Schizosaccharomyces pombe: one gene and its partners. Changing the gene in region 3 together with the main gene of any one other region gives a genetic interaction. Each region holds a gene or a part of one and is shown on either strand. Other genes may lie near its edges.

Region 1 (5,836 bases), on a different chromosome or scaffold from region 3:
AGTATTAGGACTATATTTACTATGGAAGTACTGTGGAACTAACAGATTGAACGCATTAGGATGAAACTACGAGGAATGAAGTTTCACAATTGATTAAGGCTGAAGATTATGCCACCCTCAAGCAAATTATGCATCCAAGGATTGGATTTGGTACATCTGGTATGTTTTTATTACAAAAGAAGAAAAAATTGAGATTGTTAAGAGATATTTCGCAAGTTGAAGTGGATTGAAAGAGAACGCTAAATAATGCCTCTTTCTTAATAAAGAATTCTCAGTGCTACAGCCGGTAGCTTAAACTACTTTATTGTGTTTTCCTTGATTAGAGTCGAAGTGATATACTTGATCATCGGTCACTTTCCTTACTGCGTATACTAATTTATTGTGATGATCATATTGGTCATATTTCAGAAAGAGTTTTTCGTTCTTCTTCTTCTTTTCTATCTGTTTTGGTCTTTTTTGCTTGGAATGTTATATAACGTGCTTGTACGAAATTGGTTTAAGTGTAATTAGATTTTCAGCTTGCGATTGTTCTCTCTATACATCTTAATGTTTTAACATTATCAAGTTCGTTTATTCATTTACTAATGTTTACAAAGGTTTGAGAGCTGAAATTGGTGCTGGCTTCGCTCGCATGAACTGTTTGACCGTGATTCAAGCCTCACAAGGCTTCGCTGAGTATTTGCTTCAAACCGTACCATCAGCTGCAAAGCTGGGTGTGGTAATTGGACACGATCATAGGCATAAGTCTAATACTTTTGCTCGACTTACTGCTGCAGTGTTCTTGCAAAAAGGATTCAAAACGTATTTCTTCGATCATCTTGTCCATACCCCTTTAGTCCCTTTTGCCGTTAAAACCCTAGGGACTGCAGCTGGTGTTATGATTACTGCTTCCCATAATCCCGCAGCTTATAACGGATACAAGGTCTATTGGGGAAACGGTTGTGCTATCATTCCTCCCCATGACAAGGGAATTGCTGCATGTATAGAAAAAAACTTAACGCCCATTACTTGGGACAAAAATTTGGTTGAAAATCATAAACTAGCAGATCGGGATTTTGCAGTTGGTCTTTTAAAAAACTATTGGTCTCAGCTCCACGAATTCCATTCCGAAAACAACTTTTCCTTGGAAATGAAATCTTTGAAATTTGTTTACACTCCTATTCATGGCGTTGGATTACCATTTGTTACTTCAGCATTACACTTATTTGGCGAACAAGGCGATATGATTTCTGTACCTCTTCAAGATTCTCCAAACCCTGACTTTCCGACTGTGAAATTTCCAAATCCAGAAGAGGAGGGGGCATTGGATTTGGCTTACGAGCAAGCTGATGCTAATGGTATTTCGTATGTCCTTGCAACTGATCCTGACGCAGATCGTTTCGCCTTTGCAGAAAAAATTAATGGTGCTTGGAGAAGATTTACCGGAGATGAAGTTGGTTGTATCCTTGCCTATTTTATATTTCAAGAATACAAAAACGTTGGAAAGCCAATTGATGATTTTTACGTTTTGTCAACTACTGTCTCTAGTGCTATGGTAAAGTCCATGGCCAAAGTAGAAGGATTCCATCATGTTGAAACACTTACTGGATTTAAGTGGTTAGGCAATAAAGCATTAGAATTGGAAAAACAAGGGAAATTTATTGGATTGGCATATGAAGAAGCTCTTGGTTATATGGTAGGTAGTATAGTTAGAGACAAAGACGGGGTTAATGCTTTGATTACGTTCCTTCATCTTTTGAAACGCCTTCAACTTCAGAATCTTTCAATTACCGAGGTTTTTGAGCAAATGTCTAAAAAATATGGTTATTACACTACGCAAAACTCATATTTCCTTTCACGCGACACTCCCAAGCTTCGTGCTTTGGTTGATGCCTTGAGACATTATGACACAAAATCGGGTTATCCGGCAACCCTTGGTAGTAAGAAAATTACAAATGTTCGCGACCTTACTACAGGTTACGACTCAAGCTCCACGGATGGTAAAGCTACTTTACCAGTTTCAAAAAGTTCAGATAACGTAACGTTTGAGCTTGAAAATGGAGAGGTAATTATGACTATTCGCACAAGTGGTACAGAGCCGAAACTTAAGTTTTATATCTGTGCTCGCGGACATTCGCTTGAAGATTCCATAAAGAATGCTACAGAAGTTAAACAGGCTATCAAATCTGAATGGTTTCATCCCCAACAGAACGGACTGGAAGAGCCATGAGTTTTCTCGCGTGTATAATTTTAATTTGAGCTCGTTTTTTAAGCAAAATTATAAATTGCAAACAAAAATATTTCAATAAAGTATTAGATATGATTTCCTGAGTTGTTGTGATTTAAATTTTATCCTTAATTGAAAATTCCTTAAATATCTGATGGAACTACAAAAATATAGAACTTCAATGATCAAGTAATGTTTAGTGTACTATAAAACCATGGCAAGATTCATGTCTAAAGGATGACTACAACTTAATTGGGGCAGTTGTGAGTATTTGTTGGAAAGTACTTGTCGAATACCTCTCAGCAACTGCAAGTAGCTAAGTTGGGGATTTTGAGTGACGACTTCACGGAAGGCGTATGATAAAGCACCAGTAGCGAATCCATTAACACTTGTATCTGCGCTTGTTTGATTATCTTTGCATCCGGATAAAGAAATAACATCAGCAGGAGAAAACTTAACTTGTCTAGAGTACTGTAGAGCGTTGTTATTAAATCCATTGGTAGCACTGGTAAATATATTTTTCACGTTGTTGATAGCTCCCATAATGTCGCCAGAGGCATAAGAAAGGCCAGCATGAAGTACATCCATACCAGATTCTTTTAACATATTTGGCTCCTTTAGAACGCCCTTGGTAGAGTACGTGAAAGGAAGATCGAGAGCTCCACCTGAATGACAAGCTATATTTTGTTAAAAATAGATTAAAATCACTGACTTACAGTCAAAGAGAGCTGTTAAACGACATCCTGCTGGTAAAGGCTTAACCATTATTTCGTGCATTTCATCATCTATAATTTGCCCGGCATATTGATGGTCCAGTGGATATATCGTTTCATCATAACCATCAACTTCGTCTCCATCAAGGTCTTTTGTTTGCCCTCCGTGGCCCTATGCATGTGAGTATGAGATGTAAAGTGATGATTCTTACACTATAGTGAAAAAATAATGCATCCTAAATAGTTAGCATTAGGAAGTAAATCCCATGACATATAACTTACATTAGGTTGGGCATCACTTACTAACCATCTCATCGCATCTAACATATTTTGACGAGTGGGAATTGCCCTTTGGTTGCTTGCCGTGTCTGTCATAATAACTAAAAAAGTTTTAGCAAGATGTTCTCGTAATCAACCATACCCATATCTTCTTGCTTGTAACCGTAGCGCTGTATCAGCAGTTGGGACATAGACATGACATCTTAAACAAGTTAATATATGTTTACTTGACCTTTCGCATTCCGTACCATTAATGCAACCTTGCAACTCATTTTGGGTATTGAGATAGTTAATTCCGATCAGCAAAGCCTTTCGCTTCCCTTGGCAAGTTGAATACTGATACTGAAAGTTTCCTCCTCCTGCTAAGTTATAAGATTGAGTCTGAGTGTTTGGCAGCTGAGGCCCACTATAATTTGGGTTGCCATAAGAATTAGCACCAGTATTCGGAGGCGGACCTGAGGGTGGGGCATAAGCATGGGAGTTTGCAGAGCTCAAACTTATATGACCAACATTCTCCATAGGGATTTGATTAGAATTGCCGTCTGTCTGAGGCCTTGTGGAAGGGGGTGGCATACGTGGAGGCTGATATTGATGTACAGTGTTATTACTTTGAGAACCATTATTTGGTGAATAATTAGGTCTAGTATATGTATTATATGGTGGATATTGCCCACCGTTATAAGGATTGGAGTTGTAGCTCATGTTGATGGGAAGTTGGATAGTGCTTAACTATGCTACTTTCAATAAAATACCAGATCTCACAGGTTATAACTAAAGCAAAATCAATTTGACTACAGTATATACATTTAAAAAAAAAATTAATTGCAAAAGATGCGAGCAATATATTATAATCATACCACACATCAAAACGTATTATACACGAAAGAGCTGCTACACGAAGAAATAATTTAATACGATGAAAAATCAAGTAATGTATAAAGCAATAAGTGAAAACCTAGCCGGCATAGTCTAAAAAGAGTGAAACAAAATCCGAAGATTGTTGATGGATTAAATAAAAACCTAACCTAACCTAAACTAACTAAAGCATTTTGAGGAACCAAAGAAAATATTGAAAGACTTAGAGTGAAAGAAATGAAATTTAAAAATGTGCAGACAAAGCTCTCTGATTATCGACACTCAAAGTGGCAATGACAGAATTAACTTGATCAGCAGGGAAACGAGCTAAGTAAACCTTCGAAGCTTCCATCAAACGTGTCAAAGTTCTTCCACGTAAAACTCCAGATGCAAATGTTTCTGCTAAAATCGTAATAATCGTTGGCATTTGTGAGGCAACGGCCACGTGATTTTGTTCCATCAATTCCGCAAGGAAAGTGTAAGCATAAGGAGCGTCATCTTCATCATGTGTTACAGGAAGTGTATTAATCCAATACGTTACAACTTTGTCAAGATCCTGAACACGTTGGCTACAAAAGCGGCAAATTTTGCATATCGCAACACAAATATTTTCTGTGGCATAAATTTGTTCTTCATCACGGGCATCAGGAAGCTCGAGCATCTTAAACAATGCGGGCAAAGCACTAGAGCAGATTTCAGCATACAACTCTCCTCCATGCTGAGCGGCTACTCCAATACCGTACGAGGCAGCTTGTCGAATTTCTGGTTCGCTACTTTGAATACCTTCAGCTAAGTAAGGCAAAAAGTGATCCTTGTAGTTCCAAGAATCGGGTCCAGTAAATTCAATTAAGTCATCCATCATGCATAGAGCCCATTGCTTAGCTACAGTGTCGTTTCCAGACAAAAAGCCATCCATGTACGGTAGTAGCCTTTCCCAAAAAGGGCAGAAAGCAGTTTTGTGAATTTTTAATACAACACTAAAAGTCTTGTTTATTTCGTTTAACAAGTTTTGATCATTTTCGACTGCAAGAATCATGTCCTCATCTTCTTCAATATCTATGTCACCATTTTTAGCCTCCTCCTCACGCTGCTGCACGCGAGAAATGAATCCTTTGAGCTGCAAATCAACGGCAGCAACGAGTGCTTCCATCGAAGAAGGACTCAGATTCAAGCCGCTGATTTCCAAACTTTGATAGAAACATTCAAAATAGTCGGCAAGCATTTCCACGCTTGGTTCATTTTGTATATGATCCAACAGCTTTCGTAAAATAGGCTCCCAAAGCTCATTGACTTTAGCTGGATCACGATTGCTAGCTAAAATCCGAGCGTTCAATAACTGAGGAATACACTTACAACAAGCAGAACGAACCCCGTCGTGAAAGAAGAACTTCAATCCTGGAAGTACAACAGATGTCAAAACTTCATTGACGTAAGGATCAAAGTCAGCTTTTAACTCAGCAGCATAGCAGACAAGCATTTCGGTGGCAGTACACTTGTCTTCTAACGTACTAGTCCTAATACCAACCTGTTGACCATGAACGGGAATGAACTCCCAACCATCTTGTTCAGAATATTTGCTTTCATCAACCTCGTCGTCTATAATTGTGAAGTCAGGTTTCGAGGTAGCAGCAACCAACAGAGGAGGCATAACTGAACTCAAAAATGGGACAAAATCGCTTCCTAAAACACGGCAAATTCTTCCCCAGGCAGAGATGAGATAACTAGCTTGAGGATCATCACTGTCAGTAATACCCATTTGAATGTTACCTAAAATTTGGATTAA
Region 2 (4,530 bases), 3.1 Mb from region 3:
ATTTCTCCAACAAACACCTTTGAAAATCCTGAGATCACAATAGCAACATTGGGGGTTACACTTTGGTTTAAAATTTGGTTAGCCAATTTTTTAACATTGGTTTTATTTAAGTTAGCACGACGAAACACTTCGTATCTTTGCATTTGCTCTTCATCAAAACTCTCTAGAAGATATTTTGTGCGCAATTTTTCATTAGCTTCGTCGTCCGTTTCACCAGGTTTTCCAGCAACTTTTGAAATAGCAGCTGTACCAAAGTCATCCCTATCGTCTTCTTCCAGATCATTTTCTTCTTGCCGATTCCAATTCTCTTTTTCTTTTGATGAGGGAGCAGGCTCAGCAGCAGGCGATGCCGTATTTGCCTTTGCATGAGCTCCTGCTGTAGGAGAATTAGATTGATCGTAGCTCATCGATCGCTGAAATCGAGGTACTGAACTCGCAGAACCAGTTCGTTTCATATTTATCCCTTCTATCTTCAAAAAACTGAAGAGCTCTAAATGTTTAAAAATTGGGTTTGATTTTGTTATGCAAAGTGAGAATGTACAAGAAGTAAATTTCACAGGTTGGAAACTGCTTCATACATAAGCAAGTACACTACGCTTCCTTAAACGTACAATACTATGATTATAGTCAAATTGTTTACATTACATGAATCCAACGATGTTTGTAAATGACCTTGAAAATATAGGTTTATAAATTGCAAAATAATTGTTTTAGAAAAGAATAAATGTAACTTTAATAACTTAGCAACTTCTGTAACTCATTATCGTCGACTTTTAGGCGTAAGGTCTTATTGCTTAAATCGCACTTGCAAAGATATTCGATGTGTAATGGACATACAGTAATCGACTTGCAAGAACAAGCAACTTGAGAGAAGTATGAAAATGCTTTGCAATGCTGGCATTGCCAATTTTCGGCATCCTCCATTAATTCACGATAAAGTATTTCCTTTAAATCATAGCGTCCTCGTATCATGATACGTATACCTAATTCACGTTTGACAGCCTCATGCACCCAAGGCCTTAGCTCAGACACACTTATCTCTGACGCCGGATTTGTCGCTAAATTGTAAACCAACATATCATGTGAAAGTACAGGAGGTTTAAGAAGTGACTGATATTTCAAAACGCCATTCAAAGAGAATCCGTTTAGTAACCAATCTTTGGGAGCAAAATTCACTGCCTCATTAATGTTAAACCCATGATTAATTCCTGCGTGAAAGCTTTTTGGAAAGGTAATCACGAATTCATTAGGCCCCTGGTCGATGAAATAAACATCGACACCTCTTTTTTGTAGCTCATCAGGGTTGATCATTGTAGCTAATTGGTAAAGCAGATCTTTTTGTTTTTTTACCAAATCAGGAGCAATATCAAGAGCGGCGCGTTCAAACCTCTCGGCTTGATCACCTGGAATTCCATACCATAATTTTGTGTCTCCATAATGTTGATAATTTACGGAATAAGTATAGTTATCCTCGACATGCCAACAAAAAGTTGAAAAACACATTCCAACGTACAGCCACGGACAGGTTATACCTGAAACAGGATTATCTATATAGCTTAATAGAGAACCATTTGTGGATGCTATAACATTTAAATTCCATGTGTCCTTAGAGTAAGGATTCACTGGATTTTTGGCTAAACTAGGGAAGGCGCTGCCCTGATCAAGGGTTGATAAATCTGCACCGTATTCCACTTCAAGGCTTGTATTATTGTCTTTTACGAGTTTCCAATACTCTTTTTCAACAATATCCTCAGTTATCTCCGAGTCTTTAAATTTAGAAAAATAATTTTTCTTAAAATTGTCACAGTATTTTTCAAAGTTCGATAAAGTATAATAATTCCCTGTTTCAAACCCAAACTCATATGGATTAATTATACATTTAGTACAATACGCTTCTTTACACGTATCTTCGACTTCACAATTGACAGGTTTGTGACAATTGTCACATAAGTGGTTGTTATTCGTTGACAGAGAGCTCAATCGTCGCTTTTTATTATGTGAGTGATTATCATTTGATCCAAAATTATCGGCTGGCATATATTGTTGTTTAATCTGCTCATTTCTCTTGGATTCTTGGTTTTGAAGAATTCCTACGGACTCATTAGTTTCGGGGTTAAATTGTTTAGATGTCTTCTGATCTTTAATACTAATATTAGAATGTTCGTCTTTTGTAAAAAATTTAGGGAAGAGATCAGTTTCAAAGCATTGATCCTCAGAGGTCTGATATTTTCTGACGAAATCCTCAAATGGAAAAATATACCTTAAATACAAGTCACTTGCTTCCTTTAATGATGCATTAGTAAAAGGAATTGAAAGTTCTCGTAAAATCCTTTTCCATACATGAACTTTTAATTCCTTCTCACTTAGAGATGCATGAGAATCAATACAACGCATTAAGCTGTATAAGTCGATAGACGTATTGGAAATAAAAAATGATTCCGGGAGCTCCATGCCCAGATTGCAAAAAAAACGGTAAACGCGTTCATCGTAAGAGACTATTTCACGAAATCGAAGATCCATCATATGCAAATCCTGCCGCCGAGTACGGAAGGAAAACTTGTTCATGTCAAGTTGCATCGGTGGATTCCAACCAGCAGGAGGAACGATTTTTATGATACCATATTTTTCACCGATTGGAGCTATCTTATTAATATAACCGATAGAGTCCTGAAATTCCTCTTTATCAGGATAAAAAACGGGAGCAACTGGAAGTCCATGAATGGATTTGGAACGCTGTTTTCTTTGTCCGGTATTTTTTGACATAGAGGATAAGTTATTTCCCCGCGTATTCATCCCATGAGGTGCAGGTTTTAGTTTATCTGTAGCATGAGTGTATTGTACAAAAGATGGGGAAGTTTGATGAAAAGTAGACTTGCTCATGTTTCCTATGCAAATAAGTAGATAAATTAGTCCGAATGGTGAGCGATTCCAGAAAAAAAAAGTTATTATAAAAAGAATTAAAAAATAGAGAATAAAAAAGAAACGAAACGTAAATGAGAAATAATAAATGGAAACAACAGTTTTTAAACTCGGACTTAGATGAAGTAAGTTTTTTATGTTTATGCAATGTATACTTGTTCAATTGTCCATTGAAAAGACGTAAGTGTCTTTATGGGATATAAATAAAGAAATTAGGTAAAATTCGAAAATAATCTTAGGCTAATAGCATAAATAGGCATTAAATTAATATTCGTAACGTATGGTTAAGTGAAGGTTGTGACAACTTCAGTTGACGATTTTGAGAGCTAAAGGAACGATCATTAAATTATAAAGGATAGAAAAAGGAAAGGTATTTTTCACAATTAGCATAGAATTTACAATCGGAACAACGCCATATCAGCACCAAAGCATTTCAAGGTAATTCACCGTTTAGAAAAGAAAGCGTGGATGGCAGAGGCTGTAGATACACTGAACGTATTCTGTGATCAACATATAAAGGTTCCATCACGTTCAAATGAATGACAGGTTCAGAAACGTAACTTTTGCTAATAATGGTGGTTAGTACTTGCCTTGGTAAATGATAAGATAAACTATCAATGCAATATTTAGTAAATTTAATAAATACCTTCTGGAAACAGCTACTTGCTCCGCAATCCACCAAGGAGAACGACATTGAACTGATTTGTAATTTGGCAAGCGGACGTGCTTTCTTAGATGCATTGAAAATGCATAATCAAAATTTTCATAACCTTCTGCTAAAAATTTCGCTTCTCCGTTGTGTAATTCTATCTTTAGTAAGAACAACTGAACCATAAATCATTCGACAACAAACAAGTGCACATCAAACCTTTAAAACTTACGCCATAAAGCAATTAATGCAGAAGGTACGGTTTCATCAAAAAAGGCGCACTTTCCTTGAAACATTGACAGGCAAACTGTTGTAGGTAGTTGGTTTGTTTACAATTGCGCGCGACGCGTTTCGAAAAAGAAACACAATAAAAGATATTCAAGAATACTAACCAATACTTTCTTTCTATTTTTTAATACACAATAAGAAGCCGATTTGATGAATTGAAAGGAAAACGATCAAATTAGTTTTATAGGAATTAACATTAGAACAATATACCAGTTCTAATAATTTACTTTGCAAAAAAAAGGATTCTTTATTTTTTAATTTTAAAAAATGTAAGATGTAAATTGATATCGTATTTTTTGGTAAACGGGAAATAACCTAAAGACATTGAAATGACCGCTTTAAAACGAAACTACAAGATCCAGGATCTTTCAATCATAAAAAATTAATTTTCCTCTTTCCAGTTCAAGGTTTCAAAGGTATAACATATCATGCTTCAATTTTTTAGAGCGTTAAGTATTGGGTATGAGTTTAAAAGTTGCCGGGAAGTTTATCAGCAAGAGCCTTTAGGTTCTCGCCGGTGACTCTCATCATACTCCATCCTCCAACTTTTTGTGCTCCAGCCTTTTCATAGACTTCAATGGCTCTCTGGTTCCAATCAAGGACCTAGGGTATTAGTCAAGGTATAAAAAAAGAAATGGGTTATAAACAACTTACAACCCAGTCAAGACGTCTGC
Region 3 (4,813 bases):
CAAAAACAACATGCTTTCCATCCAAATGAGGGGTGGGAACAGTAGTAATGAAGAACTGAGATCCATTGGTATTAGGGCCGGCATTGGCCATGGAAAGCAAGAAAGGCTTATCATGCTTGAGCTCAAAGTTCTCGTCCTCAAACTTCTCGCCGTAGATGCTTTCTCCACCCGTTCCATTACCACGAGTAAAGTCACCACCTTGAAGCATAAAGTTCTTAATTACTCGATGGAACCTTGAACCTTTGTAGGTTAAACAACGGCCATCCTTCTCAAACCCATTACACAACGAAGCAAAGTTTTTGACAGTTTTGGGAACTACGTTGTCGAAAAGTTCAAAGTAGATTGTTGGTTGAATTTTACCATCAATGCTAATTTTAAAATAGGCGTAAGTACTCATTTCGTGCAAAAAAAAACAATGATCGTTTTTAAGTAATGATATTTCACTGCCAGTCTCCTCAGTGTATTCACACCACAAAGTTGCTTTAAGAAGAAGAATGAATAGCGATTTTACGCAGACGAAATATACAGATCTGTGCAAACTATTTAGTTTTAGTTATTAAAAAGGTGGTGATTTATATTTGCAACCTACTGCGAAGAGATTTTCTACGAAACTTCTAGAAACATACTGTATTAAAAAAATGCTAGCAGAAGAAAATTTGACTTTTTATTAGACCAAAAAATATTTATACTTTTTTCAATTAGATTGCTTCTTCGTTAAAAATTCATAAAATACCTGATTTAAGTTAGCACACACGGACTATAAAGAAATATAAGTGCTGTTGAGTGAAGTCAACAATGTATTTAAATTTTAAAACACAAAATTGTGTTTCCTAATAGTTTTAAAACATATTTCGATGAAGTCTTCAGGCAATGTAATTACTTACCGATTTGTCAATTGAAACATTTCCAACTGACTTCAATCTCTTTTTCCCTTCCTTTTGCTTATTAAGTAGCTTTTGCTTCCTTGTTACATCTCCCCCGTAGCATTTTGCTGTGACATTTTTTCGAAGAGCCGAGATAGACTCCCTGGCGACTACTCGGTTGTCGATGACAGCTTGAAGTATTACTTCATATAGTTGTTTAGGAACTAACGGCTTCAACCGTTGAATCCATTCACGGCCTCGCTGAAGTGCAAGCGAGCGATGCACTATAGAACAAAGAGCATCTACAGATTTTCCACTCATAAAAATTGATAGTCGCACCAAATCAGCAGGAACGTAATCCGATTCTTCATAATCTAAGGTAGCGAAACCACTTGTTGTCCCTTTTAATCGACCAAAGAAATCTTCAACCAGGTGAGCAAGAGGTAATTGATATTTTATCATGCATCGCGATTCGGACATATAAGTGCAGTCCTTTTGGAGTCCTCGACAAGATTCACACAACTTGATAACATCTCCTAGGTACTCGCTCGGTGTTATAATTGTTGCATCGACGGTGGGCTCTAAAAGCTCAGATATACCTTGATGATTTGTTGGAAATAGATTAGGATTCGATATTACTTCTTCCCTTCCATTTTTATATTTTATGCGATACGGTACTGTGGGAGAAGTGATTAATAATTCCTTTCCATATTCATCCTTTAATCTGTCAATAAAGACAGAAAGATGCAACGTTCCAAGAAAACCTAAACGCCATCCCATCCCAAGAGCAGACGAGTTTTCTTTTTGTACATTAATAGCACGATCATTAAGGGCCAATTGTTCGATGTTATCATTTAGTCTCTCGTAATCCGAGCCATCCAAAGGAAAGGCGCCAACATAAACCATTGATTGGGGAATAGAGAAACCAGGTAATGCTTCAACATTAGATCCGATGGTTGAATATGTATCCCCGACAATTGCTTCATCAATATTTTTCATATTCCAGATAATATAACCAACTTGTCCTGCTCGAAGACGCGAAACTTCGGTCATGTCAGGATACATAATTCCAACTTGTTGTACTTCATACTTTCTACCTGTGTTTACACTCATCACCTTTCCTCCTTTTTTTATAAAGCCCTCCATAATTCGCACCAATCCTATAACTCCCTGGTAGCTATTGTACCAACTGTCTATCAACAGGCAGCGTAACGGAGCATTTTCTGACCCCTTGGGAGGAGGAATTTTTTGTATGATTTCCGGTAGAATTTGTTCGACATTTTTTCCCGTTTTAGAAGAGACTAGGATGGGCTTGGACATAGGGATATCAAAAGTTTGCTGAACTTGAATCAAAGTTCTATCCACATCCGCAGTTGGCAAATCAACCTTGTTCAGAACTGGAATTATGACCAAGTTTTGGGAAAATGCCATATAAAAATTTGACAACTAAATAATACGTTAGCTTAGAGTTAATATATTGATACCTAGGTTATTTGATGTTGCTTTGCTCATCATCGAACCTCATATTTCATACAGTTTGTGCTTGTATGCCTTGAGAGGCATCAACTAATAAGATACATCCTTCACAAGCGGCCAAACTATGCATGACTTCGGCACGAAAGTCAACATGCCCGGGCGTATCGATTAAATTTAGTAAATATGATTGTCCATGATAATAGTAAATCATGCTGCAGGTCTGCGCCTTAACTGTTATTCCTCTTCGCCTTTCTACTTCCAACTTATCCAAAAATTGATTTCTAAAGTTATGTTCATTAATGACACCGGTGAGTTTTAGTATGCAGTCACTCAGCGTTGATTTCCCATGGTCGATATGAGCAATCACAGCCCAGTTTCGAACTCTATTTTGTGGAATTCCTCTAACAACTTCTTGAATGGAAGGCTTGTTATCCTCGGATGCTAGCTTTCTTGAGGCATAAGAAACAGAGAAGAAGCGCCATCTTATTTTGAACGATGAACTCTTTAAACAAGTCTCTAAACTAAATGTTCTAGAGAGCCTAAAAATACTCATGAACACCAAAAAAATCTTTGTTCAAGGTTATTCAATAAAGTATACGTTAAATTCATTAACTAATTACAATAGCATAAATTCAGGCACCTAGATGAGCTAACCCTTTTTTAAATGTTTATACGGAATAAAAAAATAAATAAACCTCAGTAGGTAGATGGTCCAAGTTGCAAATACGAGGGCTGCTCAATTGCTAACTTTTTTTATACTGAGTGAACTCAAGATAAAGAAAAAAAATGGAAGACGAGAATCGCAAAAATACTAGATATAGCTCAAAAGAGGGGCAAATTAAAAAAATTCAGAAAAAATTTTATGTCTTAAAACTATTCTATTCAATAAATGCAGAATGATTCTTAATTGTTTCTATAATATTTACCCTTAAAATCAGCTTGTCAAACATTTGTAAAAAAAAGGAAAAATGAAGAAAAGTTGATAGAAAGAGACTTAATTCTGTAATTTTAAAAGTTGACACTACACTTTGGTTTGTGAGTTACTTTTGCAGCGAAAAGAGTCAATTCATACAATCGGAACTACTGTCAGAAAAGAAATTGAAAAAATTTGAGCCTTCAATACTCTATACTGAAAAATAAAATCTTGGTTAGTTGATTTCACATCCATAAACGCTTTTCAACTGGCTGAAATCAAATATAAACATAACCATTAATACACCAGTTTTGAAGCTGTTTCAACCTCAAAAAGTACCAATTGACATTGTTAAAAATTTCTTTACTTTGTAAGAATTGACAGTGCTTGCTTTGAAGAATTAACATGGAATATTTCGAGTGGTACCTATATATATATATATATATATTCACAATTATTAGTTAGAACTATCGCTTGAATTTTGATGTAGATTTTAAACTCAGCAATAAGATGATGATAAAAGTAATTCAAATAAAAGAAATGATTGTAAACTATTATTTTCTTTCAAATACTACCATCCTCATATCCCTACATACATTGTGAAACTGTTACCTCCTTCTTTGTCACCCACATAATAGCACTCGTGCAACCGGCACACCTTAGCTTTAATAACTTAGGAGAGATCTTTGGTAACAAGACTACTTTTACCAACTCCAACAAAGTTGGGTTACATGAGTATAAACATTAGGTGGTTGTAATTTACCTGAATTTTGGGAAGTATAATTAGTCAAAATGTCGGCGCGAAAGTTGCAAGGTAAAGAAGATGATATGTCACGAAAATTTGACATTAACTGGTTTAGTGGAAATTGAGAAGACCTTTAAAAAAGTGACTGATGGGGTAATGAATTCGGCAATAAATTGCTTTTAATTATGATTGCATTTTACTTACATTTGGAAAAGATTGCGATTTTTGACGAGGTTTACGAAAAGCTAAGCGCCAGTAATAGCGTCTCTCAAAAAGAGAAACTAGAGGGTGATTTGAAGACTCAAATTAAAAAACTACAACGTCTTCGTGACCAGATTAAGACTTGGGCTAGCAGCAATGATATCAAAGATAAAAAGGCCTTGTTAGAGAACAGGCGGCTTATTGAAGCTGTATGTACTGTAATTAGATGCAAACAAGCTCTTTAACTAACATATCTATGCATTAGAAAATGGAGGAATTTAAAGCTGTTGAGCGAGAGATGAAGATAAAAGCTTTCAGTAAAGAGGGCCTTAGCATCGCTTCCAAGTTGGATCCTAAGGAAAAAGAAAAGCAAGATACTATTCAGTGGATTTCCAATGCTGTAGAAGAACTAGAACGGCAAGCAGAATTGATCGAAGCAGAGGCGGAAAGTTTAAAAGCTACATTTAAAAGAGGTAAAAAAGATTTATCTAAACTTTCGCACTTGTCAGAATTGGAATCTCGAATTGAGCGACACAAATGGCATCAAGACAAACTCGAACTTATCATGAGGAGACTGGAAAACTCCCAAATTTCTCCAGAGGCCGTGAATGATAT

The links.
Region 1: mutations in guf1 (region 3) and pca1 together harm fitness more than expected from each alone (negative genetic interaction), as found in Schizosaccharomyces pombe (one large-scale study listed by BioGRID).
Region 2: mutations in guf1 (region 3) and jmj2 together harm fitness less than expected from each alone (positive genetic interaction), as found in Schizosaccharomyces pombe (one large-scale study listed by BioGRID).

What each region holds. Positions count from the first base shown.
Region 1 is NC_003421.2:2,262,031-2,267,866, reverse strand, and holds pca1 (metacaspase Pca1), read right to left. Parts: upstream 3,901-5,836; coding exon 3,447-3,900; exon of another isoform or gene 3,401-3,446; coding exon 3,341-3,400; exon of another isoform or gene 3,300-3,340; coding exon 3,202-3,299; exon of another isoform or gene 3,175-3,201; intron 3,156-3,174; coding exon 3,132-3,155; intron 3,092-3,131; coding exon 2,923-3,091; intron 2,884-2,922; coding exon 2,411-2,883; 3' UTR 2,210-2,410; coding exon of another isoform or gene 597-2,209; 3' UTR 562-596; downstream 1-561. Other genes in the region: pgm2 (phosphoglucomutase), read left to right, coding at 60-159, 597-2,209; karyopherin/importin beta family nuclear import signal receptor Sal3, read right to left, coding at 4,298-5,836. UniProt on the Schizosaccharomyces pombe protein: Involved in cell death (apoptosis).
Region 2 is NC_003424.3:1,803,918-1,808,447, forward strand, and holds jmj2 (histone demethylase Jmj2), read right to left. Parts: upstream 2,881-4,530; coding exon 733-2,880; 3' UTR 631-732; downstream 1-630. Other genes in the region: transcription factor TFIID complex subunit Taf11, read right to left, coding at 1-455; bouquet formation protein Bqt2, read right to left, coding at 3,353-3,485, 3,566-3,725, 3,801-3,864; SPOM_SPAC1002.07C (N-acetyltransferase Ats1), read right to left, coding at 4,325-4,459, 4,511-4,530.
Region 3 is NC_003424.3:4,930,619-4,935,431, forward strand, and holds guf1 (GTPase GUF1), read right to left. Parts: upstream 3,085-4,813; 5' UTR 2,893-3,084; coding exon 2,398-2,892; exon of another isoform or gene 2,310-2,397; coding exon 885-2,309; exon of another isoform or gene 734-884; coding exon 695-733; 3' UTR 640-694; downstream 1-639. Other genes in the region: cyclophilin family peptidyl-prolyl cis-trans isomerase Wis2, read right to left, coding at 1-397; not3 (CCR4-Not complex subunit Not3/5), read left to right, coding at 4,045-4,066, 4,113-4,150, 4,213-4,407, 4,464-4,813. UniProt on the Schizosaccharomyces pombe protein: Promotes mitochondrial protein synthesis. May act as a fidelity factor of the translation reaction, by catalyzing a one-codon backward translocation of tRNAs on improperly translocated ribosomes. Binds to mitochondrial ribosomes in a GTP-dependent manner.